Linked DNA regions of Drosophila melanogaster. The protein of the gene in region 1 purifies or fractionates together with the protein of each later gene. This does not show direct contact. Each region holds a gene or a part of one and is shown in the gene's direction. Other genes may lie near its edges.

Region 1 (8,262 bases):
GAACGCGACAATAGACTTGCACTCGTCATTCTGCACTTATTGGGGTTTCCCTTTCAACTGGGAACACAGAATGGTTCACTTGTGCAAACAAGAAGTGGGTTATGTGTCCAATTATTGTCTTGCACGTACGTCAAAGACTCTATTTTCACCCGCAACTGAACCCTAATGGGATTGCCAAGCGACTGAGCACCATAATCTTGGCCTGGTCTGAAGCTACAGTTCCTGAAAACAGTTGATCAAACATAACATGTGGAGTAGCCGATGTAAGGAGAAAGAGATGGGTCTATGTACTCTAGCGGGTTAGGAATGTTGTGTAGGAAGCAAGTATGAAGTTTCCAAGATAGTTTCTTTCTTATATATTTACCGAGACAATATATTGTTTCGCTCATCAAAATAGTTTGCTTTACTCAGCGGAGAGATTTTAGATCATGGCTTTCGTCCTGTGAATAGCTGCTTTCTCAAAAGATTAAAACTAATTATCTTTTCTTAGAGTTTCAAAAGTATCTAAAAACAATGAACTATCATAGAGTATAGCACTTACAAAAAGTGATCCCTAACATCTTTGTTTGCTATTTTATACTGGTGCGCTGTAACGTAACAAAAATTAAGGAAATAAATTAGGCAAGAGCACACTCGTATTTAAAAATAGACATGTTTATTGGTAGTATTATCAATAATTTCAACCGCTGGGCAATTTTTTACGCTGCTCTGTGAGAGTGGCGTCCTAACGTATCAATAGACAAAGGTAACATCAGATTTAACGGAAGAGAACGTACAAATTGGAATCAAAGAGTCCACAGAGAAGCTAGCGTAGGGGGGCAATAAAAGGGGCTCTCCGCTTGGGGATGCAGTGCGCCTAATTAATTGGCTGCGCTCGCGAAATTCCACCTGCGTCGTGGCCATGGCGAATCAGGGTCTGCTCATCGACCAGATCATCGTCGTCCTGGTCGTTGTTCTCCAGCTGCTTCTGGCGCTTTAGCCGCAGCTCGAATACCTCGCTGATGGCGTCGCGGAAACAGATGAAATTGTAGTCGATGACGCCCTGCCGGTTGAAGTTCTCCTCGCGCAGGATGCAGACCAGGGCCAGGAACTTGTTCACCTCCCGCAGGTAGAGTATCGTGTTGTTGTTTAACTTGATGAGACTAGAGCTCCCGCTGTCAAAGGCGGTTTCTTCGGAGCTGCGGTAAAGCAATGGTTATTTAGGCAAAGCAGCAAATACATCGAAATTAGTTAGCTTGCCTGTATATGCTGGACAGATCAATGACCACGTCAATCATATCGCAGCAGAGCTCATACGTCTGCATATCGACTGGTGACGAGTCCGTGGCTATGTAAATTTTGGAAACCACATCGAACAGAAAGGCTTTTTCTATTCCGGAGTTCTGCAATGGATAAGGAATTAACTGCGTAGTTCAAAAACAACAATGCAAGTTTCGTGTACTGGTATAAAAATGTTCAGCAGATTCTCCAGCGTCGGAAGCTGGGGAATCAGCTTCTGCACCACCTTGGAGAAGGCCTCGAAGATGGAGTGGTCGTATATGGAGGTCAGATGGAAACTCAGGTGGATCTGATCGAGGCCAGCCTCGTTAAGGTCATCCGACGACCGCTGGTGTATGTCCCGCTGCGATTCCATTTTCGAGTCGTCGCTAATTCCATCCACCTGGGAAAAGAGCATGTGTCGCTGGGTTATCAACACGATAAGCGCCCAACTCATGGATATTACCTTGTGTATAAACACCTCGAACTTGATGCGCTTGTTCACTTTGTAGGCCTGCAGCACTGTGTTCTTGAACTTGGTCAGCGCCTCGTTGTAGTCATCCTTGGCATCGATGACAAAGACCAGGGCTCCACAGCCTCCAAAGATCATGTCAGAATCAAAGGTCGGCTCGAAGAAGTCAATCTGGCCGGGGAAGTCCCAGATCTGGAACTGCACAAAGCTGGAGTTGTTGATGTCGTCCTTCACGATCTTACTGGTCGACTCCAGGAAGAGCGTCTCGTTCGGCGACATCTTGTGGAAGACCACTTTTTGGATGGAGCTCTTGCCGGATCTGCGCATTCCCATCAGCAGAATGCGCGGCTTTGTCTCGCTGCTGCCCGTTGCATTGGGCTCCAGTTCCAGGCCATCCTGGTTGTAGGCCCGGTAGCCAAAGTCCTTGGGGAACGTGTCCGCCGGATAGTCATCATCATCGTAGCTCTGAAAGGGCGTGATTGGGTGCAAATCAGTCGGTTGCGATGGGCGGGGGCCAATGGCGATATGGCTTCTTTGTCTACTCACCATGCTGTCGGAGTCTACCGCCTTCCACTGGATTCTGGTTTTGGGGGTGGGGCCGGCCGTAGGTCAACGGATGTGTGCATGAAACGCACAGGCAATGGCTATAGCGGTCACGATCAGTTTACCTTTTTCTGCTTTTCCTGCGCGTTTCTTATCGCAAACACAGTGTGTGCACACCTGCTAACCGAACTCAGCTGTTCCTATCGATAGCAATCAGCTGGCGCGATTACCAAGGATGCTGCCGTATGGTCACACTCCGACCACGTAAAAAAAATTGGCGCGAATTCATAAAAAATTTTTAAGTCTTATACTTTTATACTATAGTTTATAATCCTTTTCAGCTTCTGCGCCGCGTGATAAAAAGAAAATAGGCGGGCACATGCCGTACTCAAGTATATAATATATTAATCTATGTGATCGGGGTATACAAAGGAAAATGATTTGCATTTGTAAGACTAAAGCTATAACTTTGATGATTATTTTTAGCCGATCCTATTTAAGAAATCTCATATTATATTTTTACATTAAATTACTTTAAATGAAGGGTTATTTAAACAAGGAAGCCAATATAATATTCAATTTCAGTTAAACAAACAAAAACAACCAAAAATTGATTGCAAATATCACCAAGCCATTAAAAAAGATTAATAAATAATTTACCCTGGTAGAAACATACATCTTCTAGTTATTAAAAATGTTTAATTTCACTTAACGAAACAAAAACGTACAACAAACCAACCCTACGACTACTGGGCGGCCAACTTGGCATCCAACTGGCCCAGATCAACGCCCAGTTCCCTGAGCCGTCTCTCCTGCTCCTTGGTGTCCAGTCCGTGTTCCTTGTTGTACCTGTAGTTGACAGTCAGCTGCACCTCCTCCAGACCACTGACATGCTCGTACAAGTTGCCCTCCAACCGGAGATCGATGTCGCTCTCCTCGCGCAGCGCACAGAAGTACAGGAGGAAGATGGCCAGGCTGGCGGAGATTACGTAGGGTTGGTACCAAAGGGTCTCGTCGCTGCCACCACTGCGGGTGTCCTTGGCGCGCCAAGTGGCCGCCTGGCTGCCGAAAAACTTGATGGGCTCATCGCTGACCATGTCGTCATCCGATTTTTGGCTGGCTGCTCCTTGGTTCTTCGCATAGAAGCGGGATGCAGGTGGAGTGGCGCCTGTCGCTGGCATCAGTTGGCTACGAAGAGAGCCTATTGTTACTACTGCTGACTAGGTATTGTATCATTATAATAACTCACCGCAGCACCCTTGTTTTTGTAAGCAAACGCAGCATTTTCGATGGGAAACTCAAGCAAATTTCATAACAAAATTGGTTAAACAGCTGACGATTTAGAGATGAGAGCTATCGCCGGCACGCAATTTCGTGATGTATTGATGGCTTGAAAAACAAAGTAAAATATCAATTATGATGAAAATAATATGTTGATTTTACTTAGTAAACTTATGTTTATGGTTATTTGAAATTACTTAACATTAAAAGAGCAACAAACTAATATTTCCACAAATTCCACCCACGCTTGCAAACGATGATTTGACCACCGGTTCGCCCATCTCTAACACGCCACACGTGTGTTTTAAATTGTAAACACGCGCTGGTGGAGTTTTGAATAGTTCTTTGCTTCAAAAATGGGTGCAACCAAGAACCTGGACTTGATAGGCACCATCGAAGACGATGCCGAGGTGGAGAACTTGTCGGAGGACTCCGATGCGGAGGTCGAGGTAGGTTGCTCACACTTTTAAAAACGATAGCAAAACTGAGTTCCGAGTGCCTCCGCAGTACCAACCCACAAAACTGAGACACAAGAAGGTGACGGAGTTTGAGAAGGGCTTCGAGTTCGTGTCCTCAGTGAAGGAGTACAACCAGGACACTTGGGACGACCTGATGAAGTACGTGAAGCGAAAGGCGCGCACAAAGACCGACGACAAGATCGCCGCCCGGCTGCAAAAGCGGGGTGGCGCCGAAGCTGTGGCCGCGGAGCAGAGCGATGGAAGTGAGATAGATCTCTCCGAGGACGAATTGAAGCATGACAACCTGCGGCTAAGGGAGAAGAAGGAATCCAAAAAAAAGAAGAAGAAGGCTGGAGAGGAGGATGAAGAGGACGAGGGCGAGAAGATGCAGTTCGCCGACACTGTAGAGGCGAACGAGCAGATCACTTCCTTCTACCAAATGAACCTTTCACGTCCCCTGATGCGTGCCATCGGTGTGCTGGGGTACATATATCCTACGCCGATCCAGGCCTCTACGATTCCTGTGGCTTTGCTAGGTCGCGATATCTGCGGCTGTGCTGCCACGGGAACGGGCAAAACTGCTGCTTATATGTTGCCTACTCTAGAACGTTTGCTGTATCGTCCTCTTAACAACAAGGCCATCACCAGGGTACTGGTTCTTGTGCCCACTCGTGAGCTGGGCGCCCAGGTTTACCAGGTGACAAAGCAATTGTGCCAGTTCACCACTATTGATGTGGGTCTGGCAATTGGTGGTCTGGATGTGAAGGCTCAGGAGGCAGTACTTCGCCAGAATCCCGACATTGTCATTGCAACGCCAGGTCGTCTAATCGATCACATTAAAAATACGCCCAGTTTTACATTGGATTCCATTGAGGTAAGAAATCGAGGTGAATTTAAGTTGATGATTCTCCATCCTTGCGCTCTGAGCTCTTTGCGGAGCTAAGAGGATAACCTGGTTCTTGCTTCTGCGCGGCAGATGCAAGCTGATTCCACAGGCATTGTGTTTCCTACGTTTACTTTACCTGAATAACTTAAATATCTTTTGATATCCCGAACAGGTTCTCATTCTGGACGAGGCCGATCGTATGCTGGACGAGTACTTCGCCGAACAGATGAAGGAGATCATCAACTCCTGCTGTAAGACACGTCAGACCATGTTGTTCTCCGCCACAATGAGCGAGCAGGTCAAAGATCTGGCCGCCGTATCGCTGGACAAGCCCATCAAGGTGTTCGTCAACAACAACCAGCAAGTGGCCTTCAATCTGCGTCAGGAATTTATTCGCATACGTGAGGATAAGGAGGGCGACCGTGAACCCATTCTGGCTAGTTTGATTTGCAGGACGTTCCATGATCATTGCATGGTATTTGTGCAAACCAAAAAGCAGGCCCATCGACTGCACATTTTATTGGGTCTCTTGGGCGTCCGGGCCGGCGAACTGCATGGCAATCTCACCCAGCAACAGCGTCTGGAGTCCCTCAAGAAGTTCAAGGAGGAGCAGATTGATGTGCTTATCGCCACAGATGTAGCTGCTCGTGGTCTCGATATTGTGGGCGTAAAAACGGTAATCAACTTTGTGATGCCCATCACCACAGAGCACTACATCCATCGAGTGGGTCGTACGGCTCGAGCTGGGCGTGCTGGTATATCCGTTTCCCTGGCCGGTGAAAAGGAGCGCAAGATCGTTAAGGACATTATCAAGAATGCGGAGAGTACCATTAAGAATCGTATTATTCCGCCAGAGATTATTGAAAAATATCGCAACAAACTTACAAGCTTGGAGCCAGAGATTCGTAAGTTTATATAAATGTAACATTTTCTTAATTTGCGGATGTAAATGTATTGTTTTGTAGAAAACATTCTGGACGAAGAGCAGGCTGAACGGCAGCTAGCCAAAACGGAGCAACAGCTCTCCAAAACGGAGCGAAAGCTGCTGGGACAGACCAACGAGCGACGTGGTTGGTTCCAGACGAAACAGCAACGCGAGGCGGAGAAGGATCGCTTAGCGTTGACAACCGGCGACGAGGATAAAGCATCTGGTGGAAAGGGTAAGGGAAAAACGGCCGGAAAGCGTAAGCGACCCGAGTACGGAGGCGATGGCGAGGATGGACCACCGGTCAAGGATCTCGAGGCAAAGCGCAACAAGAAGAAGAAGGAGGAGCCTCGAAAGAAGACACCGGAGCAGCTGGCCAAAGAGCGAGCCATGAAGGAGATCGAGAAGGTGTCCCTTGTGCGCGCCAAGATGGCCAAGCTGCGCAAACGTCCGGGCAAACTAGGAGCCGCCACCGAAGTTCACAGAAGCGGTGCCTCCGACGGCAAACCCAAGCGACGCGGCGGTCAGTCGGCATTTACTAACGACTTGACCGATGTAAGTCGTGGCGGAGCTCTGCGTCTAAGGTGAGTAGCTCTTTCTCGCTTTTCGTTGATAGTTGTTCTAATTTTGTACACCCTTTTCCAGGTCCGAGGCCAATCGGCACAAAAAGATGACCAAGATCGCTGCTAAGAAAAAGGCGAGCAGTGTGAAGCTGACAAACAAGGCGGGAAAGAATAAGTTCAACAAGGGCAAGAACTTCGGAGGACCTCGTCACGCCAAGAAGGATAAAAAGAAGTAGAGCTGCAAACTACGCTATGTTAAATCGTATACTTGTAAAATAAAACTTTTTCTTCTTTAAGGCATTTAATTTTTTTAATTTGCTTTAAACATATGACACCTCAAAACAAAATTGCGAATCTGCATAATCAGAGTGTTAAACTTTCTAATATAACTGCAAATTTACTATTGCTTAAATTAGTTTCGGTTATCTTAATTTAGCTTAGTTTAAAAAGCGCGCCATGATATCGATAAAAATCGATTGTGCAAACTTTTTCAGAACCTCGCCTCCCCTCACTAGTTTTGTTTGCCATTTTCCTCCTTTCGCCTTTTTCCTGAATTTGGCCACAATTGTTGTGTGCTTAAACTGCTAAATTAGGTTTATATAAGTACCTGTATGATGAGCAACCTTTGCAAATACGGACCGCCCCCAGATTCCGACTCTGATAGCAGCTACGATGGATTCTACTTCTCGGATAAGGTATGTGTTCCTTGTTCTGTTCCTTCTGGTGTTCCTTGGGTGACTTGAGTAATTTCTGTATAGGTGAAACGCTCGAAACCAGCTCCTTACGTGGATCCCGAGCAAAAGCTCTACGATGCAGTCGTCGCTGGGGATCTCAAGACGATGCAGGAGGAGATGCGCAAACTCGTCCTCCAAGTGGATCAGCCAGTAAAAGGTGGTCTTAACTTACTGATGCTCGCCTGTCGCGAGGGCCACTACAAAATAGTTGAATGGCTGCTGGAAAGGGCAGGGGCCAACGTGAATCGGCAGCTGGATTCCTTGATGCCGCTGATGATGGCCTGCAATACCACCCACAAGGATCCGTGCCTGGCGGAGAGAATTGTGGGCCTGCTCTTGCGGCACGGAGCCGTGATCAATGTTTCGGAAAAATATGGAATGACACCCTTTATGTTCGCCTGCCAAAATGGCTTTGCCGGCGTTGTGCGTCTGCTTATTAAGGATGCTAGTTTCGATGCTGTGGATAATCAGGGCTGCACTGCCATCTTTCATGCCATCGAGAAAAATCACGTGGAAGTGGTCAAGCTGTTGGTGGAGGCGGGCGCGAATGCCACGATAGCCAACAACAAAGGCTACACGCCCACCCAGGTGGCGGAGTGCCATGGATACTACGACCTGCTGGAGATCCTGCCGCGACCAGCCTCCACTTACCTAGTGCCGACGCACTTCCTGGGCTACAACACGCTAAGGGATCACATTCCACGCATCTTCCTTAAGAGCGATTGCCCGGAATATTTTCAAGAACTTAACGGCATACTGGAGGCCATCAATATTGGCAACATGGTTCAATACTTTGCCATTGCGAGGATCTCGCTGGCAGATTTCCTCGTCATGGATGAGCAGTCACTTCGCGAGATCGGCATCGAGTATCCCATCTTCCGTCACAAGATACTGACGGGCATTCTTGAGTGAGTAGAATTAAAACTCTTATGGAACTTGTAATAAAATGTCCCTTTATTACAGCTTTCATCTTCATCATTGGAGCAACTCGTCGATAGCTCGGGTCAAAAAGGATGAGATGAACAAGTGAGTGGTGGTTTATTCTGTTACTATTTCAACTAACCCAAAAATTCTTCCAGCTTCTATGAGATCCTACTGATCACCGCAAGTCATCTGCAACACTTGGTCATTATTCAGGCCTCC
Region 2 (7,377 bases), on another chromosome or scaffold:
TACTCCAAAGTTACGGGTGATTTGAAACGGAACATACAGCCCTCCACAAGGCACTTGCCTCCCTCTGGCACTTGATTTGGGCCCAGAGAGAGTTTTCTTTTGGAAGCTGCTCCACCAGAGTGCTTCGCTCCGTAGGGACGGCCCCTGACCGAGGTGCCGCCTCCAAGAAGCGGTGGGTCCACGGCGGCGGGAAGAAGATTATTGGCCACATAGATGCGGGCTGGCTTTTCGATAGCAGCATTCATCTCGGCTGCCAAGGGAACCAGCGGCGGAACCGGCAAACTACCTAAGGCTGCACTTTGAGCAACAGAGGCTGTCCCTTCCGAAGATGTTACCGGTACTAGAGGTGGCACTGTCCCTCGTCCTCCCGCTGCAGTTCCTTCTTCTGCGTTTTGTGTGTCCTCCGGTGGTGCGGCGTACAAATGCGAAAAATCCTTGACTAGCAGATCCACTGCATTGTGAGACAAACCATCGAGTGGGGGAGCATTAGCCACTTCACTGGGTGTAGGCAGAACGAGTCCAGCTTCTGGTACAGCATCTTCCATCCACGGCCAGCACTCCAGATCCTCAGGTAGGTCATAGCCATCCTCGCTAGGCCAACTTTCACTAATAGACGGCTGAAATTCGCCAAGCGTTTCCGTTGGTCCCTTGAGCTGTGAAGTTACTTCCATTGGCTGCTGCTGCACGGGCGGAAGCTCCATCATGGTCATTGCCATCGGTTCTAGATTGGGCACGATTAAGTGCTCCACCTCGGTGCGATTCATTAGGTTTAGTTCGTCCACAGTGCGCAGGTGCAAGGTGCCCCTCTGCGGTGCTTTCAAAATGTCCACGTTTTTGATGAAGATCTTTTGCTTGGTCGTAATGGGAGCCGTAGGTGGCATGTAGTGCTCCAGCTGGACAGGTTGTGGTTCCATCATTGTCAGTGGATCATTCAGAGGAGGTGGCGGAGTTGCCTCTTCCGAAACAAAATCCACACCAAAATCAAGGTCCAAAGCACTAAAACGTGTGTTTTCCACATGGGCGGCAGGTGCTCCATTGCCATTCAGCACAGAATCAAAGGGAAATGCCTCGGAACACATCTGTGCGAGCGGGGCGAGGCTGGGCTCGAATCCTGGAAGCTGACACGTGGGCGTTAGTAGTGTCTCCGACTGGAAGACATCACCATCTGCTCCTCCTACAACCAGGCCACTTTGTCCTGGCTCTGCTGCCGACGGCATGGTGCTATTGAATCCCAGACCGGGCAGAGCAGATGGCAAAACCATCGGTTCCTTGAGGATGTCTACATTGCGGATATAAATCTTCGGCTGGCGCGGCTTCTCCGGCTCCCCGACAACATCAGGAACTTCAGGGAGACTATTGTCCGTATTGACCGAATGGTTCTGCAGCTGGAAGTCGAACGGCAGCAAAGCGGTCTCCCTGAGCACGTCCACGCTCTTGATGGAGATCTTCTGGATGGGCTTTGGCGGCGGAGCTGGTAAATTCGCAGCAGGTGCTGTTGGCATTGTCTGTTCGGTCGGCGATGCACCTACAGCCACACCTTCCAGCAGATCAAGAATGTTAGCGGCGGACCCGCTATCCGGCATTAAGGGCGGGAAATCCGGGAGTGGCTCCCTTAGGCAATCTACGCTTTTTATAAAGATGCGGCTCTTGGGTCGATTTTGGCTCTGCGACATCTGAGTCTGCTTTTTAGTTTGTGCTTCAGTGACTTTTCTGCCCATAAGCGCAAGTGTCTCACTGTCCTCCATTTGATGGTCCAAGCTGAGGTGCAAGCTGAGCGCATCGCTGGTGTAGAAAATGTTTGAGCAGCCTGTCGAAAAACACGTGAAAAGTGAATGCAAATATGATGAAGCATTCCAGCAGAGCACTCATATTGAAGGCGCACTATGCCTCACCTGGACACTGTTTCCTGTGCTGCTCCATATAGCAGTTGCCCTGACTAAGGTGTTGCTGAAGACGCATCTGGCAGAGGCTTAAGAATGGACAATTAGGACAGCGCAGGATAAGAGGCGGACCCTCCTGAATGATTGCCTTGCCCTCCACGCTGGCGCAGCTGGAATTTCGAGTTGGTGGCGTTGGCGTGGCATTCAGGCGATCCTTGGCTGCCGCTTCCGCAAGTTCCGACTTGATTAGTTCCTCCGACTTAATTTCCGCTGTACGCCTGCGGAAGGCATTGCGGTAGCTTTTCTCTGGTTGCTGCAAGTCGGTGGTGTGGATCTGGACAAAGGGAATGCCCTGATTGGGCTGGGACTCCACCGCCACCTCAGTAGGTGATCGATTCCCGCCATCGGCCAGCCACAAAGTAGTTCCAGAAGGGGTGGTGTTTGCAGCAGACGCGGAGGCAGATCCGGATCCCGATCCGATGACCAGCTCTTCGTCAAAGAATCCCCCGAAGTTGGAGTCCTGCTCCAAGGAGTGAACCGGCGTGGAAAGCGACAGGTCTTGGTGCGGATGTGTAGGATGCGGATGCGACAACGGGAGCAGCTGGAAGACACACGGCGTGTTTTTCTGGCCAGAGGTACTCGCTGGTTGCTCACCTGGTTGCCGCCGTAATATCCCGGATAGGTCGCATCGCTCATCGTGGGTGCCTTCCTTGGTCCAGTTGATTCCCGGTGCCGGATTCCGGTTGCCGGTTGCCGGTTTTCCGCTTCCTGGGCACACGCCTCTTAATTCCGCATCACAAAAATTGGCATTACGCAGAAAAAAAACTTTTCATCACAAAATAACTGATAGCGAACAGCTGTTGCTGTACACAGTGTGGCAGCGGTGTTTGCACAACTATATTCGGTCACACTGTCGCGTTATGTTATGTCGTGTGTATAGGCCCTTTATTAAATTGAATAATTTAAGTTACCAATATTAAGACCGAAGTTAAATCAAACGGTATACGAAGACTAAATACAATATAATGAAATTTTTTTGTACTAAGCTAGAATAGTTTAACTAGAGGTTCTATAAATATACCAAAACGTGCTGGAGATATCGCTGTTATCGAAGACTAACCATCGCTAGCGGCTACTGCAAAAAAAAGAGCGGAGTTTCGTGGACTCGAGTGAAAATTGTGAAAATCCATTGTATACGCGACAGAAAGCAACATAAGGCCCCAGAATGCCGCGAATAATGATCAAGGGCGGCGTGTGGCGCAACACGGAGGTAATTATCCCAATAGTCTATCGGTTAACCACACATGGCTTACATTGGCTACCGATTTCATTTTCCCAGGATGAAATCCTCAAAGCTGCGGTTATGAAATATGGCAAGAACCAGTGGAGTCGAATTGCCTCCCTCCTGCACAGAAAGTCCGCCAAGCAGTGCAAGGCCAGGTGGTACGAGTGGCTGGATCCCAGCATCAAGAAGACCGAGTGGTCCCGTGAGGAGGACGAGAAACTGCTCCACTTGGCCAAGCTGATGCCGACGCAGTGGCGCACCATAGCCCCGATCATCGGACGGACGGCAGCCCAGTGCCTGGAGCGCTATGAGTACTTGCTGTGAGTCCAACGCACAACATACTAAGTAGAAAATTTCTGATCCCTTTCCTGCCGTACAGAGACCAAGCCCAACGCAAAGAGGATGGCGAGGACACGATGGATGATCCTCGCAAGTTGAAGCCCGGAGAGATTGACCCCAATCCAGAGACCAAGCCGGCGCGGCCCGATCCCAAGGACATGGACGAGGACGAGCTGGAAATGCTGTCCGAGGCACGCGCCCGCTTGGCCAACACGCAAGGCAAGAAAGCCAAGCGCAAGGCTCGCGAAAAGCAACTGGAGGAAGCCCGCCGCCTGGCCACTCTCCAAAAGCGGCGCGAACTTCGTGCCGCCGGAATTGGCAGCGGAAATCGCAAGCGGATCAAGGGAATAGACTACAACGCCGAGATTCCCTTCGAAAAGCGACCTGCCCACGGATTCTACGACACTTCCGAGGAACACTTGCAGAAAAATGAACCCGACTTCAACAAGATGCGGCAGCAGGACCTAGATGGAGAACTCCGCTCAGAGAAGGAGGAACGCGAACGCAAGCGGGACAAGCAGAAGCTGAAGCAGCGCAAAGAGAATGAAGTGCCCACCGCAATGCTGCAAAACATGGAGCCCGAGCGGAAGCGCTCCAAACTAGTCCTGCCTACGCCGCAGATTTCCGACATGGAACTACAGCAGGTAGTCAAGCTGGGACGCGCCAGTGAGATGGCAAAGGAAATTGCCGGTGAGAGCGGCATAGAGACGACGGATGCTTTGCTAGCCGACTACTCCATTACACCCCAGGTAGCAGCCACTCCACGTACTCCGGCTCCGTACACCGATCGCATCATGCAGGAGGCCCAAAACATGATGGCCCTCACCCACACAGAGACGCCACTCAAAGGTGGCCTGAACACACCGCTGCACGAGTCAGACTTCTCCGGCGTGCTGCCCAAGGCGGCCTCCATCGCCACGCCTAACACAGTGATTGCCACGCCGTTTAGAACCCAACGCGAGGGCGGAGCAGCCACTCCCGGCGGATTCCAAACGCCCTCCTCCGGAGCCCTAGTTCCCGTAAAGGGGGCAGGAGGGGCTACGGGTGTCGTCAATACACCTGCCTACGTGAGGGACAAGCTAAGCATCAATCCTGAGGAGAGTATGGGCGTCACCGAGACCCCAGCACATTACAAAAACTACCAAAAGCAACTAAAGTCTACACTGCGTGACGGTCTCTCCACGCTGCCCGCTCCACGGAATGACTATGAGATCGTGGTGCCTGAGCAGGAGGAAAGCGAACGCATTGAGACCAACTCAGAACCCGCCGTCGAGGATCAGGCGGATGTCGACGCCAGGTTATTGGCTGAACAAGAGGCGCGCCGAAAGCGAGAGCTAGAGAAGCGCTCCCAGGTTATTCAGCGTAGTCTCCCGCGACCAACTGAAGTGAACACCAAGATTCTGCGACCGCAGTCCGAGAAACAGAACCTTACGGAACAGCAGCAGGCCGAAGAGCTGATTAAACACGAAATGATCACCATGCAGCGTGAGTAAACCCAACGTTTCCATTTTAACCCAAGTAACTAACGTCCTTTTTCTTGGCAGTGTACGACTCGGTCAAGGATCCCGTGCCTGGTCAATCGCAGCACAAGTTGGAACAGCTACAAAGCTACTTTAAGGCCAATCCCTACGAGGACATCTCGCAGCAAGAGTTGGCGAAGGCCAAGCAAATGCTCACCGAGGAAATGGAGGTGGTGAAGGAGCGCATGGCGCATGGCGAACTGCCCCTAGACGTTTATGCCCAGGTGTGGCAGGAGTGCCTCGGCCAGGTTCTTTACCTACCCTCCCAACATCGCTACACACGCGCCAATTTGGCCAGCAAGAAGGATCGATTAGAGTCTGCCGAGAAACGGCTGGAGACAAATCGCCGCCACATGGCCAAGGAAGCCAAGCGCTGCGGCAAGATCGAGAAGAAGCTGAAGATTCTCACCGGCGGCTACCAGGCGCGCGCCCAGGTGCTGATTAAGCAGCTTCAGGACACGTACGGCCAGATTGAGCAGAACTCTGTCTCACTCTCGACATTCCGCTTTTTGGGCGAACAGGAGGCCATCGCTGTGCCGCGACGCCTGGAATCGCTGCAAGAGGACGTGCGTCGCCAGATGGACCGCGAGAAGGAGCTGCAGCAAAAGTACGCTAGCTTAGTGGAGGAGCGCGATTCGCTTTACTCTCAAATCGAACATATAACTGGCGTCAGGCCCACGGCCCAGCAACTCCTGCCCGACCAGGAAGCGTAAACCTTCTTTTGGAACCCAAGTCCGTTCTTATTTAATTACAGTAATTACATGCCAGCAAACAGCTATCACCACCTAATATCCCGATCCATATTCCTCGCTAGCGGCCGTACTTCTGGTAGACCCACTCCTTGTTGTCCAGCGGACAGACCAGGCGCGTTTTCAACCAGCGCGCGATGCAGTGGTAATGGAATGCGTGGTTGCACTCGCCCCAAGCCACAGTGCACTCGTCTTGGTTTGCATTCGGGTCCGCCTGGCACTCGATGCACAGGTTCATGATGTGGTTACGGCAGATGGCACAGTTGTCCACTGCTACGTCCCATCCCCACATGGCGTGCGCAACCCATTTCTTCACCACAAAGCGCTCCGTCCTGGCCTGGACAGCTCCTCCACTACAGGATGGCTCTTCGTCATTGAAGTCCATGTCGTGGAAGTCCTCCGTCTCCTCAACCTCTATCTCCTCGGCCATGGTGTGAAATTACGAATTTTTTTTCTTTTTCAAAATACAACACTTATTTTCGTATTCGAATTTGATTTGAACTATTTTAAATTCCATTTGTTTTTGGCCTGACAGTTAATAAAAAAAAGTTGACCACTACCGATTTATCTACGAAATAACAACGGCGAATAATTTTAAAAATAAATGCAGAAAAGAAATTAAACCTTGTGATCATATTAAGTGGGGCTCAAGAAAGCTTATCATCGGTAAACCACTTTTGAATCCCTAAATTTAGACAATTTTTTTAAACAAGAAAGAATGTTATAGTCGAATTTCTCGACTATCAGATACCAGATAGTGGGAGTGAGTTTGAGAGAGAAATTTCAAAATTATCTTGGCATATCGATAGAAATTTGTATTCCTTTTAACGAGTTTAATATACCCCTCTATGAGTAATGGGTATGATAACAAATTACGGTTTTTATAATGCCTTTCTTAAACAAAATAGCTGTTTCCCAAACTCGAATGTCATTATTATTAAGGAAGCTTTACTGCTAACGGGAAGTCATGGCTTAGGCTTAGGGTATATCAAATAAATTCTTTACACGTTCTTCTCAGTTTGGGAAAGGTTTTTTACCCTCTTCAGGTGCTTCTTGCCAATAAAGTGCTGTTGCAAGGTGCTCTCATGGTTCATCATCATGTTGCAGGGCTGGCAGTAGTACTGACCCATTGGAGTGCGATACAAGGCCAGTTCCGCGGCATCTAATTTCTCCGTTTCAGGGATCGGCGCCTCCGAATGATTCTGATCCTGCCGGGAGGTCCTCCAGTTCTTTTGGTGCCTGGCTCCAGCCAAGTGGGCCTGCATTTGTGCAGCAGAGGTGACCACTATTTTACACAGGTGGCAGGTGCGCTCATTATCGTCAGACTTGATCACGCTGTTCTCTGATATTAATACGTCCGTAGGGGAATCTTTGGTTAAACTTTCCGGCTTGCGGAACAGACTCCCTATGCCGTAACGACCAACAGATGTATCACAGTGCCTGGCTCCGGAGGGCTTCGCGACGCCCTGCTCCACACGCTTGTGCTTCCGACCTAAATAGTGCTGGCGGGCGTGCATAGAGGAGGTAAGGTCCAGATTGCACAGCTCGCAGTGAAAGGCGTTTGGGCCGGTTGGTCCTTGCTTGGCCAGCCGCTTCACTGGAGG
Region 3 (6,700 bases), on another chromosome or scaffold:
CCGCACGATAAGAAATCCGTAAGCAACAATTCGCAACTAGGTGGCAACGCACACAGCCACATGGCAAATATGACCGCCCTGTCTTCGAATCAGCTGTTTGGAGTGCAGTGAAATTGCGATTATGCGATGACAGAATCTTGAATTCCTTTAATCTATACACCAAGGAATCAAAATAAATATTAATTTATTAATACGTCAAGAAACTAAAATCGTAAAAATAATACGAAAGTGCCTAGTTTTTAAAGTTAAAGTTAATATAGAATCTTACAAATATGGTTAAAAATCACCGAACTTCATAAATTCGTTCCAGTATAAACATTCCACTTCAGCTTTGTGTTTTCTATTTAGATTTTGTATGTGAATTGAACTAGTTGTTAAGCTTAAAGTTGTGAAGTACATAGCATAATTTAAGAAAAATGCAGAGTATAGGATGGACGCTGATCATGAAACGCGGCTGCCTCTTTAGTTGCCGCAAGGAGACCCTGAACATAAACGGATCTCGATACACAATCCGCGAAAGGCTGGCGACGGGGTTTGTACCACATTTTTCCCACTATCTCCTCTGATATATCTAATCTGAGTGTTTAAACAGGGGCTTCAGTCTAATCGACCTTGGGGAAAACGCCTCCACGCGACGTAGCTATGCGATAAAGCGCATCACCTGCCACAGCATCGATGATCAGAATATAGCTCTGCGAGAAATCGAAAACTGTCGAAAAATTGACTCGGAAAACGTGATCCGGGTAGTGGATTACGAGCTGAAGGGCCAGGCGGACATAGTTATAAACACAACGAGCACCTTGTTCATTGTGCTTCCCTATTACAAGCACGGATCTCTTGCGGACCACCTTCAGCTGCGATCGCGGAAACAGGACCACATGCCCGAGGCCCAGATCCTGCAAATCTTTCTGGGCGTCTGCGAGGGATTGAAGGCCATCCACGAGGCAATGCCGGTGCCTCTGGCCCACCGAGATCTAAAAACGGCCAACATCTGCCTGTCGGACTCTTTTGAGCCAATTATTGTGGATCTCGGGTCAATGACAGAAGCCCGACTGCAGATTGTGGGCCAGACGGATGCTCAGCGCTTGCAGGACGAAGCCGAGGAGAGGAGCTCCATTGTCTACCGGGCTCCAGAGTTATTTACCGTGAAAACATATTGCACAATTGACGAGCGCACTGACATATGGGTAAAGCAGATCCAAGAGAGCGTTATTGAAGTTCTTCCTTAACATTTCCCTCTTTCAGAGTCTTGGCTGTGTGCTCTATGCAATGTGCTACTTTAATTCACCCTACGATCCCATCTACGAGCGAGGTGACAGCGTGGCTTTGGCTGTGCTCAGTGGGAACATAAACATTCCAGAGGATTCAATTTACACAGAGGTAATAAACCTTTTTTTTATATTGTAAAGGAAACTAATTCCAAATATTTGTCTAGGACATGCACGAATTAATTAAGTACATGCTGCGAACAGATCCAATGGAACGGCCATTCGTGTTTAGTGTTATCGAAAGGACCCACGATCTGATACAGAAACTGGAGGGTCGCTTGTAGCTCCCACTAACTGGATTACAACTCATTTATAGACATTCCTCCAAACCAGATACACCGCTTACTGTTTTTTGACTACTTATTGTAAAATATTTTAAACCTGCTGATTTTATGAAATTATGTGTAAGCAATCAAGCTAGTTTTTTTATTTTATTTTATTGATTGGAGCTAGTGTTCGTCACGAGTGAGTCCTGGACAGTTGGAGCCCAGATCTTCGGCGTCATCGTAATGGGTCCCACACCAATAGCAGAAGCAATAGGCTGTGCGCAGGTAGCCAGTGAGGAGTTCTAATTGCTCCGAGGGACTGTATGGTTCTTGCTTAGGTGGCACCTCGACTTCAGGATCGTCGGCGTCGCTCTGTGATTCATCTTCATCTTTTGGTTTAGGTGGCCAAAAGAAATCGAGATCTGGTTCTGTGATAGCGGACTTAAGATCCAACGATTCGCAGGTCTGCTGGCACCGTTTTATGTCATACTGTAATTTTCGCTCCTCCGCTTTATGGGTCGCGCGCCTCCTATAAGCCTCTGTACTGACTTCCTCGTCGCTTTTAATGCCGGCCTTGTTTAGGAGATGTGCCCTCCGCAACTTCTGCCGCTTGAGGGCCAACTCTGCAACGGCTGCCTCGCGCCCAAGTCCTCCACGACCGCTCTTTATAGTTATCCCCACGGGTTCAGTACGAGCATCCGAAGTTATGCCCAACCCAGAACCGGCTTTGTAGCCCATCTTGGCCAGTAGCTGGAATCCTTTGTTGTCGGCGGAAATTGGTTTGTTGAGGGACTGTTGAAGGCGAACATTGTCTACGTTCCCGGAAGAAGCTGCTGTCTCCCGTTGGCGCTTCTTCAGCTCATCTTTCTTGGACTCGACTTCAATCTGCCGCTTTCTGCCGCGATTGTGCACCAAACTCGGTCGGACATCTTGCAGACTAATGAGGGAAGGATGAGAGTTTTTCATAAGGTGGTTGGTTGTTAGTTAGGTGTGAGTGTAATCTCACCCAACCAGGAATTTGTCGGACATATAATCCTCCTCCTCGTCAGACATCTGTTTGTTTTGTTTACACTTCTCACTTAAGTGTGACCATTGCATAGTTATCTACAGCATTATTTCGATAATTTATAATAACAATGATATCTCTGCTATGAAGATTGAGTTCCGAAAATTGTATTTTATAGTATTGGTTCTGTTTAGTGATAAAAAAAACAGCCAGTTTGTGTCATTTACTTATTTCTTCAAAAACAAAGTATTTTAAGTAAGCGCATGTAAGATACTAAACAAAATACTATCCGCTTCTGAGCAGCTGTTGCGCTCCGCTGACGAGTGGACAGTTCCGTTGGCGTTCCATGTGCTCGTCCCATTCAGAAGGCAACATTTGTGAAAATTAACTATTAGTTGACTAAAACGGGTGCAATGGGAACTGTAAGTGGAAAGTAAAATTATTTAATGCTTATTCTAATCCAAATCATTGTAGAAAAAGGTCAAAATCAGCTCGGTCAAGCGGGCTGCTCACCTGAAGTCGAAAAAAACACCGCTTTCTAAGCAGCAGCAACAAAAACAGAAGCAAAAGCGCGACCAACTGAAATCGAAGCGCGAACAGGGTCAGAATATATTCTCCCAAAAGGCGAGAAAGCGGGACAACTTAGCACAGCGTAAAAAGCACAACAAATTGGCCTCCCTGGGCTTGGATCCGCTCGAGGAAGACAACGAGGATGGCGACGATGAGATGCTTGAAAACGTTGCGGACATGCTGGATGGCGATGATCTTGCCCTGCTCCAGGCTAACAAACGCAAGCGAAAGGCCAAGACGACCGGCGAGAATGATCCTGACCAAGGACAATCCATCGGCTTGGAAAGGGCCTATGCCTCTGACACGAAAAAAGAGCAGGACGCGCAAAAAATAAAGTTGGATTTGCTGCCAATCAAGTCCAGGGATGGTCAGATTATCACCCGTACGACAGAGGTGGATTACATACCTAAGCCCAAGCAGAAAAAGAAGAATGAAGAAGAAGAGGAGGATGATTCCGAGGAAGACGGTGATACGGAGTATGAGGACAGCGATGACGATGTGGTCAATGATGTCGAGGCCGCCACCGCCGCTCCCGTCCAAAAACTTATCTCTACCACGGATCTACTTATTGCCCGGCAGCAGGAGATCGAACGCCAGAAGTATCGCATTGGAATCATTTGTTCCGGGCTGCTCGAAAAGCCAGAGGATAAGATGCGCAACTTTCATGCTCTGTACGAACTCATGGACGAAATCAACCCAGCCAGTCGACAGGCCAACCTAATGGCCGTCAGAAAGCTGGCCATAATCTCTGTCACCGAGATATTCAAAGATATCTTGCCCGAGTATCGAGTGGGTCAGGTCGACACCAAGATGCAGACGCTTCGCAAGGCCACTCTTGATCGTGTAACCTTTGAAAACGCCTTGCTTCAACAGTTTAAAAAGTTCCTGCAGAAACTGGAACAGATCACAGCGCAAGTTAACAGGAGAGGTGGTCTAAGGACGCCTCAGACTGTGAAGTTGGCCACCGTGGCAGTACAGTGCATGTGTGACTTGCTTGTGGCACATCCATACTTTAACTACGTTCAAAACATTGCCCAGCTTCTGGTGTATATGCTGAATTGCAATTATGCAGAGATGCGAACGGCGGTCCATCAGTGCTTCCGCACAGTCTTTTCCAACGACAAACGGTTAGAAATGACTCTTTTTATAGTGCGACGCATCAATCACTTGATCAAAACGAAGCAGAACAATGTTCATGTGGAGTGCATCACCTGTCTGATGGGCCTTAAAATCAAGAACGTAAACCTAGATGCCGAAAAGGAGAATGAGCTAAAGCAAAAGAAGCTTGAGTCGCATCGTCAACGCTTACTAAGCTTGTCCAAGAAAGAGCGCAAAAGACGTAAGAAGCTCACCGAGGTTAACAGAGAACTAGAGGAAACCCGTGCCGAGGAAAACAAGCAAGCAAAGCATCAGAAGCTCACCGAGATCATAAAGATGGTGTTTACCATTTACTTCCGCGTGCTTAAGAACGATCCCACCTCCCGCGTGCTGAGCGCTATTCTAGAAGGATTGGCAGAGTGAGTGGTTATTGTAAATCTCTTTCCTGGAATTTTAAATATAGAGGATGATTTTTAGGTTTGCGCACGTCATTAATTTGGACTTCTTCTCCGATCTAATCGATGTGCTCAACCGCATTCTAGAGGACCAAGACGAGCTGGGCTACCGGGAGCGATTGCACTGTGTTCAGACCATATTCGTTATCCTTTCCGGCCAGGGTGAGGTGCTAAACATCGACCCCATCCGATTCTACCAGCACTTTTACCGAAATATGCTGGCGGTGCAGGCAGGCAAAAATCACGATGACTTCGCCATTATTTTGCGAACTTTGGATGAGGTGCTCGTAAAGCGTCGTCGCAATATGAGCCAGCAGCGTCTAATGGCCTTCATGAAACGCTTGCTTACTGGAAGTCTGCATCTGCTCCATAATGGCACCCTGGCCACGCTTGGCACAATAAAACAAACCTTCCAGCTCACTTCTGTGCTTGACAACCTATTGGATACAGACACTACGATAGGCTCTGGTCGTTACGATCCCGAACTGGACGATCCTGAGTACTGTAACGCAGCAAGCACAGCGCTGTATGAGCTTGCGCTTCTGGCACGTCACTATCATCCCACGGTGCGACGGATGGCCGTTCACATTGCTCATGGAGTGCCAGCAACGGGCGAGGGAGCTTTGCCCACGGAAATTGGCAAACTGTATGTAATAAGACGGCAACTACATATGTGACTCTAACAATTATTACTTTCCTTAGTACCTCCCACGAGCTGTTTACGCAATTCGACAGCACTCAGATGGCTTTCAATCCGACAATACCGCTGCCAAAAGCGGGTCAACCAAAACTAAAAAGGGGCAAACACTTATATATTCGCTCGGACTTCAAACAGGAGTACGGAAAACTGCTGCAGCAAGGAAAAGTTTCACAGACGAAGGATAAACAAACCTTACAAATTGATTTTTTCAGTGCACTTCAATAAAGAAAAATTTGAAGATTGAAGTAGAGTTATAATGACTGCGGAATAGTGTGGAAAGAAATGCAATTTTTAAACAATACCCAACTTGTTTCCCAATATTAAACATTCTTCCAAATACGTTCTCAGTTAAAGGAAGAGAATACCAAGTGTGATACCAGGATTTGATTAGCCAGATAATAATCGAACAAATTTGTTGTTAAATCAGAAAGGTGCGAGTTGGTTTTAAAACATGAAACCATTCATTTGCTTAGAACTTCTCTGTAATATATTTCAATTAATGGGATTTTTACAAGTTATTATGTTTGGAGCTCCTAACATTCTATATAGAGGCTAAGTCTAGAGTCACTAAGAGTAGTGTCATATAACCGGGTACAAGTCCCAGGGGTTCGCCAGAATTTTTCATTCGCTACCTATGCATTGGTGCCTCCTCGTTGTCGCTGTTGTCCAACGCTAGCTGGTGGCAGATACTCTCTATTCCCGCCCGACTGCTGTTGCCCGAATCCAGCCACTGAACTCTCGGGAAGAGCTCCGGCGGCAGTGGCCAGAAGCCCGACAGCAGCTCCCGATGGCGGTAATCGATTGGCTCCAGTGCTCGGGACAATGGCGGGACGAAGGACAGCCCCAGCGCCATACGGGCTTTGGGGCTGAGCGGTTGGGGTGGGCGTGGCTGAAGGATAGGACCCCCGGCCGGAGTTATATCCAGCAACCTGAGACACTCCGGTGGCTCGAAGTGTTCCAGTCGTGGCCAGAGGTGCCCCGAAGGCAGCCGAGGAAGAAGCGGCCGGACGGTAGACGTTGTTGGTATTCGATGTTCTCAGATTGGAGCCACTTCTCTCGGAGTAATCATAGATATAGGCATTGTTCGCATATAAGCTGGGCGCCGAAACGCAGTCGTACTGGTTCCACCACACACAGACTAATGTCTCCTGGCTGAAGACTGTGCCATTGGGACACAGGAAGGAGTAGGTCCGGTTGAGGGCACAGATATGGAACACCTGGCATTGGGCCTCTATGTCCGCATAATAGCCGGGTAGGGGCTGTTGCGCACAGTCAAAGTTGGTGCGCGGCACCTGGGCATAAATAGGATAATCCACTCCAGGAACACCCGGAATGGC
Region 4 (9,098 bases), on another chromosome or scaffold:
TAGGAGTTGGATCTCCAGAAAAACACTTTTCACTTGTCTTGGTCGCAGAGAAACGATTATGAAAAGAATGTCAAAAAAAAAAAATATAAAGCACATGTACAATTACAGTGATAACTCATACGGTGAAACTTGAAGCCAACAAAAACAGAAGCAGAGGAAATTTGAAGTTAGAAAGTGATGTGTTTATAACTGGAAATACAGACATGCTTACACTTTCTTGCGCCAGAACTTACTGGAAATTATAGAGCCGCAATAAACAATAAACAATAAAAGCTCAATTCCTCAACACAACTGTGAACCAGTCTGTCGGTATCAATTACCCTCAGCTGGTGCCACATATTGAGGAAGCCCTGTAGTCGCCCGTGTCAGCATTGTACACACATAATGCGTGCTTGTGTGCGTGCGTGTAAGCATAAATGCACGTGTGTGTTGGTACACGTGCGTGGCTTTCAATGTCGCAAAGTTTGTGGGGGCCAAATAGTATTTTCCTTATTGTTTTTGTTTGTGTTTTTCTTTTAACGTGGCTGATGATATCGTTAGAGTATAATCGAGAGTGGGCGACGAAACGTGGGCGGCAGAAGGGGCGGAAATCAATCAAGAATTATTTGTGGGGGAGCAATATTTTTACCCAAAATATGTGTACACCTTCGGACGGTCTATTTTTGTTTGCCATCTATTTGCGTCAAGTGCCCACAAACCGTACGAAAGATACAAATAACAAATGAACTCTCTCAAAGATCTATTGAACGACACCTTCTACATAAACTAACTGGATAACAAGTAGTGGTATTTATCAGTCATACTATTTTCGTTGTTATTAACATTTTTCAGTTCAAATAAGAGCTAAGCCCTTATCTTATGTACACAAATGTACATATGTACATACATGTGTATATATACAAAGGTTCACCACCACCCATTTTTTGCAAGTAAACAAAAACAGGTTCTAATAGAGCCGAAAGAAATGCGTAGCAAAATTCCAATGCCCAATAGAAACAGTTAACAATAAGAACATTTTGACCAAGTGTTTGATTATATTAACAAGCTGACTATTGAATTGAACGAAAAATTCGTAGGAAATGTATAATATCATTTAGGATAAGTTCTAAGTATGGTTTGAATATATATCTTAATTATTTCAATATAACTTTGAGTGACTTAAATTAAAATGTGATAATCTGAGACCCAAGCCTCGATTAGCCATAATTTCAATTACTGAAATTCGGACGTCAATGTGGGCAAGGTGTATTATTTATACTGTTTGGCGTACCTTAAACTTAACAAATCAAAACAAAAAGAGAGCAAAGAGAAGTGGAAAGCAATGAGTTAGAGGGCACAGGGAGAGGGAGAGGGGGTAAGGGGCGATAGAGAGTGGGGTACAAACCTGTTCCACGGGCCGCGTAACTTGTTGTTGTTGCCTGCATGGACGCCGAACTGGTGACTGTCGCGGGGGCGGTGGTCAGTAGCGGTACGGCCGAGGGTCCAGCGCCACTGGTTTTTGTGAATTTCAAAAGCATAGTTTTGGTCCGTCGTCGTACTTGTTGTTGTTGTTTTTGTTTTGTTTTGTGTTGATGATGCTGATCTCGTATTCCTTGATATCGTTATTGTTATTGCTGCTATCGATGTTTGTTGTTGTTGTTGTTGCTCGCCGGGAGAGCGTTAGCTGGCTAACGGGACAAAGTAAGAGTCCAAGTGGCCAACAAGGCTGCGACTTTTGCCTGCGTCAACGCTTCTTCTTCTTGCTCTTATTTGCCGTCGTCTTCTTCTTCTTCGTGCCCTGTCTATTTGTTGCTATTTTTAGCAACAACAATTCCTCCTCCTTTTTCAGCTCTTTTTCGCTGTCCTCTTACTCGCTCTCTCTCTCTCTCTCTCTCTTTCCCTCAGCCACAGCCGCTCTTTCACTGGATTCCTGCTCCTGACGTTTTTTGTTTTATCAATTATATTACAGTTACAGTTCTTGCCTCTCGCTCACTCACACACTCGCGCTATCTCTTTTTTTCTCTTACACGAGTGGGTGCCTGCACATGTGTGTGTGTGTGCGCCTTGCTCAATTGTTATTGTTGCGTGGCCAAGTGTTTTGCATTGTTTTTCTGGTCCCACTGTCACTTGCATTCAATGGCTTAACAATGTCACTGTTGCACGTTAACAAAAAAACACTATTTTGCGCACTATTTGCGGACGCTGTTTCTATTTGCTTCTTCTATTTTTCAACTTGTTGCACAGAGCTGCCAGACCGGCCACGTACGTTATCGACATTCCTAAGGGGAATATCGATAACAGGTTGGTGTGTTAGCTAATTTGATATCGTGTGGTGTATAGCTTGGGTGGAAATTCACCTTGAAATAATCAACACACCCCCACTAGTATTTTTAAATCTTTTAATCAAAAAATATATTTTTTATATTTGGGAAACAGATATTTATGCTTATTCAAAAGCACACAACTAGTTTGTGGTAGGTAGCAGAGCAGAACTAGCCAGGACTGCAATTCAAAGTGGGGAACTTGATTAGAAATTTACAACGGTACGTCATCGAGTTTTGATCAGCCATTCGATAGCAGTTTCGATTGTCAGTTCTATCGGTCGAGCGGGGACACTGGTTCGCACGTGTTGCGATTTGCGTGCATTGAGTATTTCTGTTTCTTTCGAGCATTTCTCGCGTGGGGGATCATGGGCAAATTCCGATCGAAGCTAAAGCGCAATGGCAAGGGAAAGACATGGAGCAGAGGCGAATCGGCCACCTCCAATCCCACCCAGATGAAGCACCGCATGAAGGCCAAATCGCGATTCTTTCAGCCCAATTTAAGTTTGGGTGAGTTCTTCCTTACTTGCCATCTTATGTTAGCACCTGTAACCAAATTCCTTACAGCTGCAGCCACGACCACCGGCCTCACCATGGAGGCGGTCCACAAGCATGAGCAGAGTCAGGCCTTTAATGCGGAAACCACAACGGTTAACGATGTGGCCGGCAGTTTGAGAAGTTTCAAACTGGATGACGATGATGACGGAATGTCCGGTTCCGGCACCGCTCCCACCGGCACCGCCCCCACCGGCACCATCAAAACCTTCCAGACCTTCGCCTCCAACTACAGCGGTTGCAGCAACACATGCTTCCAGAAACTGGTCACCAGCTTCCGGTCCTCGTCCGCTCTTCACAAGGAGATGCTGGCCATTCTGAGCGCCCTCACCGAAATAATCCGCGAGAACGGCGGTGGCGAGTCGTCTACAGAGTATTTCCTGCTGCTCATGGAGCAGATCGAGGCCGCTACCGAGGAACGGGACATTGTGGCCGGCGTAACACTGCTTGCCATGGGCATTAATTCGGTGCCGGCTCCGGTTCTCAAAAAGCGATTCGCCCAGACCGCTGACACCATGCAGAGACTGCTCCAGCGCTTTATGGAGTCCACTAACCAGTCGGTCATCCGACATGTAAGTGCAAAATGTGTTTACCAGAAAGCTGTTAAATACGTATTTAACGTCGATGTTCGTGTTTTTCCATTTACAGGTAATCGGCTGCCTTTCTGTCATTCTGCGCGCCCAGGATTACGCGGCATGGTCATACAGCTCGACGTTCCAATACTTTGATGCCATTCTGGCGTTCAGCATTCACTCACAGCCGAAGATCCGCAAGGCAGCCCAGCATGCAATTGCCTTAATTATTCACGGCAGCTGTTTCATGCTGCCGGCTATCAAATCAGATGACAATGAAATGGATGAAGCGGTTGAGCAGCCAAAGGTTAAGCATCATCCGGCTAGCAGTCGCGTGGCCAAGTTCTGTTTGGCTCAGTTCAAGCCGGAGGTACTGGCCAATGCACAGACGACAGTGCTGCACACTTTGGAGCTTCTCAAGGACACGTTATACGGTTTCAAGACGGAGGACATACGCAGTGTCTGCGAGCATCTGCTTTCCATTATGACGGCGGCCAATGTGCTGGTTAGGACGAACTGTTTCCAGACACTGTACTCCCTTTTCCTCAAAAAAAGCCCCAATTTAAATGCCTCACTCTGCGCCAAACTGCTGGCAGCGATACACGAGTACCGGCCAGACAAAAGCGACATCCGGCAGACGATCGCCTGGGTGACGGTCTTAAAGGAGGGCCACCTCCATTTGGCGACCATGCAGCTGGATCTTTGTATGCAGGCCTTGCCGCGTCTGATCGATGTCTGCACCACGGATCTTTGGCTCTCGGACCAAAAGGAGCTGGTTGCCGGTGTCTCAAATTGTATCAAGGAGCTGCTGCAAGACTGTGTTTCGCGCGCTTGTGCTACAGCGGAGGATGCACAGTGCAACAGGCAAAGTGTGTCCAGGATAATTGCTTCACTGCACAAGATGCTAAACGCTCCATTCGGAGAGATCTCCAGATTCGTGATCCTCATCTTCTCGTTCGTCTTTGAGGCCTGTGGAAAGCTATTCGGGTTGGTCTGCAATGTGTGCCATAATATTTAAATGCTTAATAATATTATAATGCTTTCAGTTCGGAACTCACACCCCCGCTGATGACAATCTGCAAGCGCTACGACACCCAGAGTGCACATCGTCTGCAGATCGAGCACACTGTGATCAGTGCCATCAAGGCTTTGGGACCCGAATTGGTACTAACAGCTATACCGCTTGCCGATGGCAAGGGCGTCATGCAGCTTGAGCGATCCTGGCTGCTGCCCCTCCTCCGTGAGGGAGCCAACGGTGCCAGCCTGCAGTTCTTCAAGGAGAAGATTGTAGCACTGGCCATGGACTGCCAACTGAAGTGGAAGGAGTTCGCCGAGGCGAAGAACAATTCTTCATCACACATTTACGAGCTATTGTGCTGCCAGTTGTGGGGCTTGTTCCCTGGCTTCTGTCGTCAGCCAAGGGATCCTGAATACTTGCGGTACCTAGCTCCCACTTTGGGTGCGGCTGTGGAAAAGAACCCGGAATTTAGGCCTCCCATTTACGATGGTCTGATGGAGCTGCTCGGTGACAACCAAAGTGCGGAATGCCATCAGGCAATTGGCCAGTATGCCAAGAACTTTTTGCCTCGCCTCTTCAATATCTATACGCAGAAACCGAATGGAACCTACGAGGCCGATCAGCGCAAGCGTGTTCTGGAAGTCATTCGTTTGTATATTTCCCGGGCGCCGGCTGATGTCCAACTGGAGCTCTTTGAGAACGCCCAAGAGCAATTGGCTGCCAGTGCCTTGGCCAGTTTCGAATACGACGCTTTCTTTGACATTAATGCTGCCATAGTGCGCGTGCAAACATGCAAGGGAATCAAAGCATATTTCGATAAGTACATGGCTCCCATTCTGAGGAACGATAAATCGAAATTGGTCGCCAAAGATGAGCAGAAACTGAAAAAGCAGCAAAGGAAGACCTACGAGTATGTACACTTGTTGTTAGTCATAGTCACACTGCAGTGTACTTATGAGCCCTTCTTATTTATAGACTACTTCGCGAACTGATGACCTCGGAGCTGCCATCATGCCAGAAGTTTACCCGCAAGAACAGCATTGTCCTGCAGCAAATCCTTCTCGATTCATTTAACACCAGCTGCAACGTTTGTCAGGCATCGCGTTTGCAGTAAGTTAAAGTGCTAAATGATCGCTAAAGTGTAGGCTAAACTATTATTTTTCAATCATCAGCTGCCTGAAGTCCCTGATAGACTGCCACAGCAATCTGGCGTACAACGATCAACTTGTGATGAAGGCCATTCCGGAGGCAGTGCTCAACTATAAGGAATTCTCCAATTACAAGGAACAGGTGGCCGAGCAGCTAATCAAATCTATTACTCAACTTTATCACGATGCCGGCAAGATTAACGACTTTGTTGATATACTGACGGCAGGATTTGCCGGCGATGAAATGCTGGTGACGAACACAATTTTGGCCTTTAGGGCTGTGCTCCAGCAGCAGGGTGAGCACTTGACAGTGGCCACTCTGGAGTTTGTCCTGCAGCAGGTCTCTGTTTTCCTCGTCCAGAAGTCACGCAAGCAAGCGGAGGCAGCCATTGCCTTTCTGATTACATTCATCAAAGTGATGCCCATACCACTGGTGGCCAATCACCTGGAGGCAATTGTGAGCACATCCGCCGACATTTAAATTAGGCACTTGAACCGAATAATTAGTTCTTTCCCCTCCTTTAGATGCGTTCCTTGTCGGCCATGACCAAGGATACGAAGCGATACTGCCGCATCCAGATCGGTTATTTGCTTAAGAAGCTCTGCATTCGTTTTAGCCCCGGGGAGCTGGCCGGCTTCGTTCCCGGCGATGACGATGTAATCCATCGCCGGCTGAAGATGATCCGCAAGCGTACGCGCAGGGATTTGCGCAAGAAACAGAACTTGGAAGCGCAGGAGGATAGCTCCGATGATGAGCTGGTCAGCGGTCTGCAGGAAAAGAGCTACACGTAAGCGTTTTTCATACACAGTAATTACCCAAATAACTAAAAAAAATCCCTTCCACAGCATTGATGATATGCTAGCTGACTCCGATTCGGATCTGCCCGAAGATATGGACGCTAAGGATGAGGCCGGAGCTGCAGCCGCAGCTAGCAAGCGTAGCAAGAATGCTAAGCAACAGAAGAGCACTTACATTCGCGAGGATCCCGATGAGATAGTCGATTTGGCCGATCTCAAGTCCATTGGCAATGTGCTGAGTAAGTTGAAGTCGTTTGAAAATCGCACAAATCATCACTTTTTTTGTTTCTTTGCCTTTGCCCCACTCCAGCCAGTGGCTCCGCTCAAACGGCCACCCCTGCCCAGAGTCAAAAGACGAAAGCTCAGCTGCCGAACGGTGGCTTCAAGACTGCCGACGATGGACGCCTGATCATCAGCGACAAGGCACTTCGTGGCCAGGGCGGTAACGATCAGTCCGATGACGACTCGGATTCCGATGCATCCATGGCGTATGGCACTGTAGCCAAGCAGCCCAAGGTTAAGCGTGGCATGGAAGACGATTCGAGCGACGAAGATAAACTGCAGCAGAAGCTAGTACCCAAGCGTGTACGCAAGGGTGATGATGCGATGAGCATGAAATCGGGCAAAACCACTGCCAGTAGTCGCTACACTGCCGGTGGCAAGGGCATTCATCGACAGCTGACAGCTGGAAACTCGGATGCCATGTCCGTGAAGTCAGGCAAATCCACCAGCCGCCCAGCGGGCAGTGAGTACGGCAGCAAGAAGGCCAAGGGTGATATGAAGAAGAGCGGAAAACTGGATCCATATGCGTATATACCACTCACTAGGAATAACCTGAACAAGAGGTGTGTATCCAAAATGTTTAATATTATTAATATACCCGTCCCTATCTAATACTCCATCTCTTTCGCCCCCAGAAAACGTTCAATGAATTCGCGAAAATTCAAGAGCGTATTGCGAGGAGCTGGCGCTGAAAATGGAGGAGCCGGCGGTGGCCGGGTGTCCAAGAAATACAAATAGGGCAGACGATTCAAGCCAACTGGCTAACAGGCTCGTAAAGCTATAGAGATATAGAGATGTATAATAACACTGGGATAGTGCGGTCTGTTGATAAGGAAGCTAAGACGTTGATGATTATTTCCCCTGTTACTTTGCTTAAATATATAAATATAACTTAATATATATATATGAACATGTGGAGACGTTGTAAATGCCACAGATAAAGAAAAACAGAAACAGAATAGTTATGTATTTTTTTTTTTTTTTGTTTTGATCTGCAAAGACTTTGAATAAAGAATTTTGAAAGCAACATAGTTCGATGCGTGGCAGAAAGAAGAGCAGTAACGTTAGATTAAATCCACACAAGCTTTATGTTCTTTAAAGATATAGTAAATATGACTATTTATTATCGCAAATGCCAGAGTCAAAATACAGATTGGTAGAATATTAGCCAATTAGGTTATTCTACAAAAGAGGAAAGTCTTCGAACGAGATAGTTGCGTCAAGAAGTTGCGTCATCCTGTCCGTGGTCAAACGCCGTTTTGAAAATCCTTTTCAATGTGGGTCTTGTTCCATTCGCCGTGCGGATCCAATCCAGTCATTGTCTCCTCAATGAAGTGCATCTTATTCTCGCTGTCCACCAGGACAACGGAGTGTGTACGGCTGCCATAGGCATGCTCTTCGATATGGACGTTTAGGGAACTCAATCCCTCGCCCCAGTTGGGCGCACGTGTCTTTAGCTCGTCGTCCGGCCAGAATTTGTGCTTGTTGCGGAGCAACTGCATCAGCTGGGCGGACAGAGTCTCCACGCTGGCTTCCCCATGAGCCTTAACGATCGCCTCGAACTCCTGTTTGCCATGACGCACCTTCTCGAACGGAGAGTGCGGCAGACTGTTGCCAAATCCGTAGCACTCGCCGTTCTGGAAATCCTCCAGCGTGGGCGGCACATTGCTCAGCAGCTTCACGCGAGCGGGCTGGGATGCAGATCTGTTGAGAACGAAGGCGTGCAGTAGATGGTATCAATGTTTCGCTAATGGTTCCCTAATGTTATTGCATATTATTCAGAATTTATACGTATAATTCGGAGATAAAGACAGCATAAAGCAATATATGTACATACTAATATGCATATAATTAGAATATATAATAATTCAGGTTAACCTGAATGGGCGCAGACTCACCCAATTTCGATGGACACAAAGTTGAAGGCAGAATACTTGGTGCAATCTTTGAGCAGCCTTTCGTTGTAGTTCAGGATGCTGTGCTCCTCGTCCGCCCGGGTAACATAGTCCGCCACAATCATGCCGCGCCCTAGTAAGAAATGTTCGTTATTCGATTGCCCCCTACTCGGATTCGTATTCGGGTTCTGAATTGGATTCGGATTCGGATGACGGTAGCTGTTGGAGGTGGTGGTCTTGGGGCAAAGGTTAATGCCGGTGCTGTTGCTGTTGTGATTATGCGGTTGCAAAATGTTTTTGTGCGCTTCAAACAGAAAACAGAAACGAAGAAAGTTTGTTTTTGCTTTGCTTTTTCTTTGGTCGCGGTTGTGAAAGTTTTAGTTCGGGCCAAGTGTTAGGTGTATGGATGAGTGTGTGTGCGTGTGTGTGCGCGTCAATTTGGATTAGTAAGTAGCTCAAATGGGTTTACCAACTGCATCGCGTGGCTTGGGCTCGCCGGTCAGATTGAGCAGGGCGCCCACCTTAAAGAA

The links.
Region 2: the proteins of Rs1 (region 1) and Cdc5 purify together in Drosophila melanogaster (affinity purification with mass spectrometry, with the first as the bait; one large-scale study listed by BioGRID). This does not show direct contact.
Region 3: the proteins of Rs1 (region 1) and Noc3 purify together in Drosophila melanogaster (affinity purification with mass spectrometry, with the first as the bait; one large-scale study listed by BioGRID). This does not show direct contact.
Region 4: the proteins of Rs1 (region 1) and CG2691 purify together in Drosophila melanogaster (affinity purification with mass spectrometry, with the first as the bait; one large-scale study listed by BioGRID). This does not show direct contact.

What each region holds. Positions count from the first base shown.
Region 1 is NT_033778.4:8,161,047-8,169,308, forward strand, and holds Rs1 (Rs1), read left to right. Parts: upstream 1-2,517; 5' UTR 2,518-2,721; intron 2,722-2,953; exon of another isoform or gene 2,954-3,018; coding exon of another isoform or gene 3,019-3,460; intron 3,461-3,521; coding exon of another isoform or gene 3,522-3,556; exon of another isoform or gene 3,557-3,661; intron 3,662-3,750; exon of another isoform or gene 3,751-3,823; intron 3,824-3,833; exon of another isoform or gene 3,834-3,894; 5' UTR 3,895-3,909; coding exon 3,910-4,002; intron 4,003-4,060; coding exon 4,061-4,885; intron 4,886-4,903; exon of another isoform or gene 4,904-5,002; intron 5,003-5,069; coding exon 5,070-5,802; intron 5,803-5,862; coding exon 5,863-6,406; intron 6,407-6,467; coding exon 6,468-6,621; 3' UTR 6,622-6,723; downstream 6,724-8,262. Other genes in the region: CG8708 (uncharacterized protein), read right to left, coding at 1-29; RagC-D (Ras-related GTP binding C/D), read right to left, coding at 857-1,178, 1,240-1,382, 1,442-1,660, 1,724-2,194, 2,276-2,278; CG30373 (uncharacterized protein), read right to left, coding at 3,019-3,460, 3,522-3,556; gasz, read left to right, coding at 6,997-7,080, 7,144-8,027, 8,083-8,145, 8,199-8,262.
Region 2 is NT_037436.4:356,857-364,233, reverse strand, and holds Cdc5 (cell division cycle 5), read left to right. Parts: upstream 1-2,850; 5' UTR 2,851-3,105; coding exon 3,106-3,150; intron 3,151-3,219; coding exon 3,220-3,485; intron 3,486-3,544; coding exon 3,545-4,989; intron 4,990-5,048; coding exon 5,049-5,737; 3' UTR 5,738-5,834; coding exon of another isoform or gene 5,835-6,203; 3' UTR 6,204-6,383; downstream 6,384-7,377. Other genes in the region: CG1233 (uncharacterized protein), read right to left, coding at 1-1,807, 1,893-2,481, 2,535-2,576; Roc1b (regulator of cullins 1b), read right to left, coding at 5,835-6,203; CG1231 (uncharacterized protein), read right to left, coding at 6,775-7,377.
Region 3 is NT_033777.3:7,243,137-7,249,836, reverse strand, and holds Noc3 (nucleolar complex protein 3), read left to right. Parts: upstream 1-2,867; 5' UTR 2,868-2,953; coding exon 2,954-2,962; intron 2,963-3,014; coding exon 3,015-4,627; intron 4,628-4,685; coding exon 4,686-5,309; intron 5,310-5,365; coding exon 5,366-5,588; 3' UTR 5,589-5,605; downstream 5,606-6,700. Other genes in the region: CG1227 (uncharacterized protein), read left to right, coding at 417-532, 593-1,187, 1,246-1,380, 1,436-1,552; CG10053 (uncharacterized protein), read right to left, coding at 1,718-2,471, 2,541-2,587; CG14607 (uncharacterized protein), read right to left, coding at 5,996-6,700.
Region 4 is NC_004354.4:13,617,876-13,626,973, reverse strand, and holds CG2691 (uncharacterized protein), read left to right. Parts: upstream 1-2,565; 5' UTR 2,566-2,668; coding exon 2,669-2,810; intron 2,811-2,867; coding exon 2,868-3,427; intron 3,428-3,503; coding exon 3,504-4,414; intron 4,415-4,473; coding exon 4,474-5,355; intron 5,356-5,420; coding exon 5,421-5,555; intron 5,556-5,617; coding exon 5,618-6,050; intron 6,051-6,118; coding exon 6,119-6,381; intron 6,382-6,439; coding exon 6,440-6,630; intron 6,631-6,701; coding exon 6,702-7,236; intron 7,237-7,308; coding exon 7,309-7,411; 3' UTR 7,412-7,698; downstream 7,699-9,098. Other genes in the region: Tango2 (transport and golgi organization 2), read right to left, coding at 7,921-8,377, 8,572-8,872, 9,038-9,098.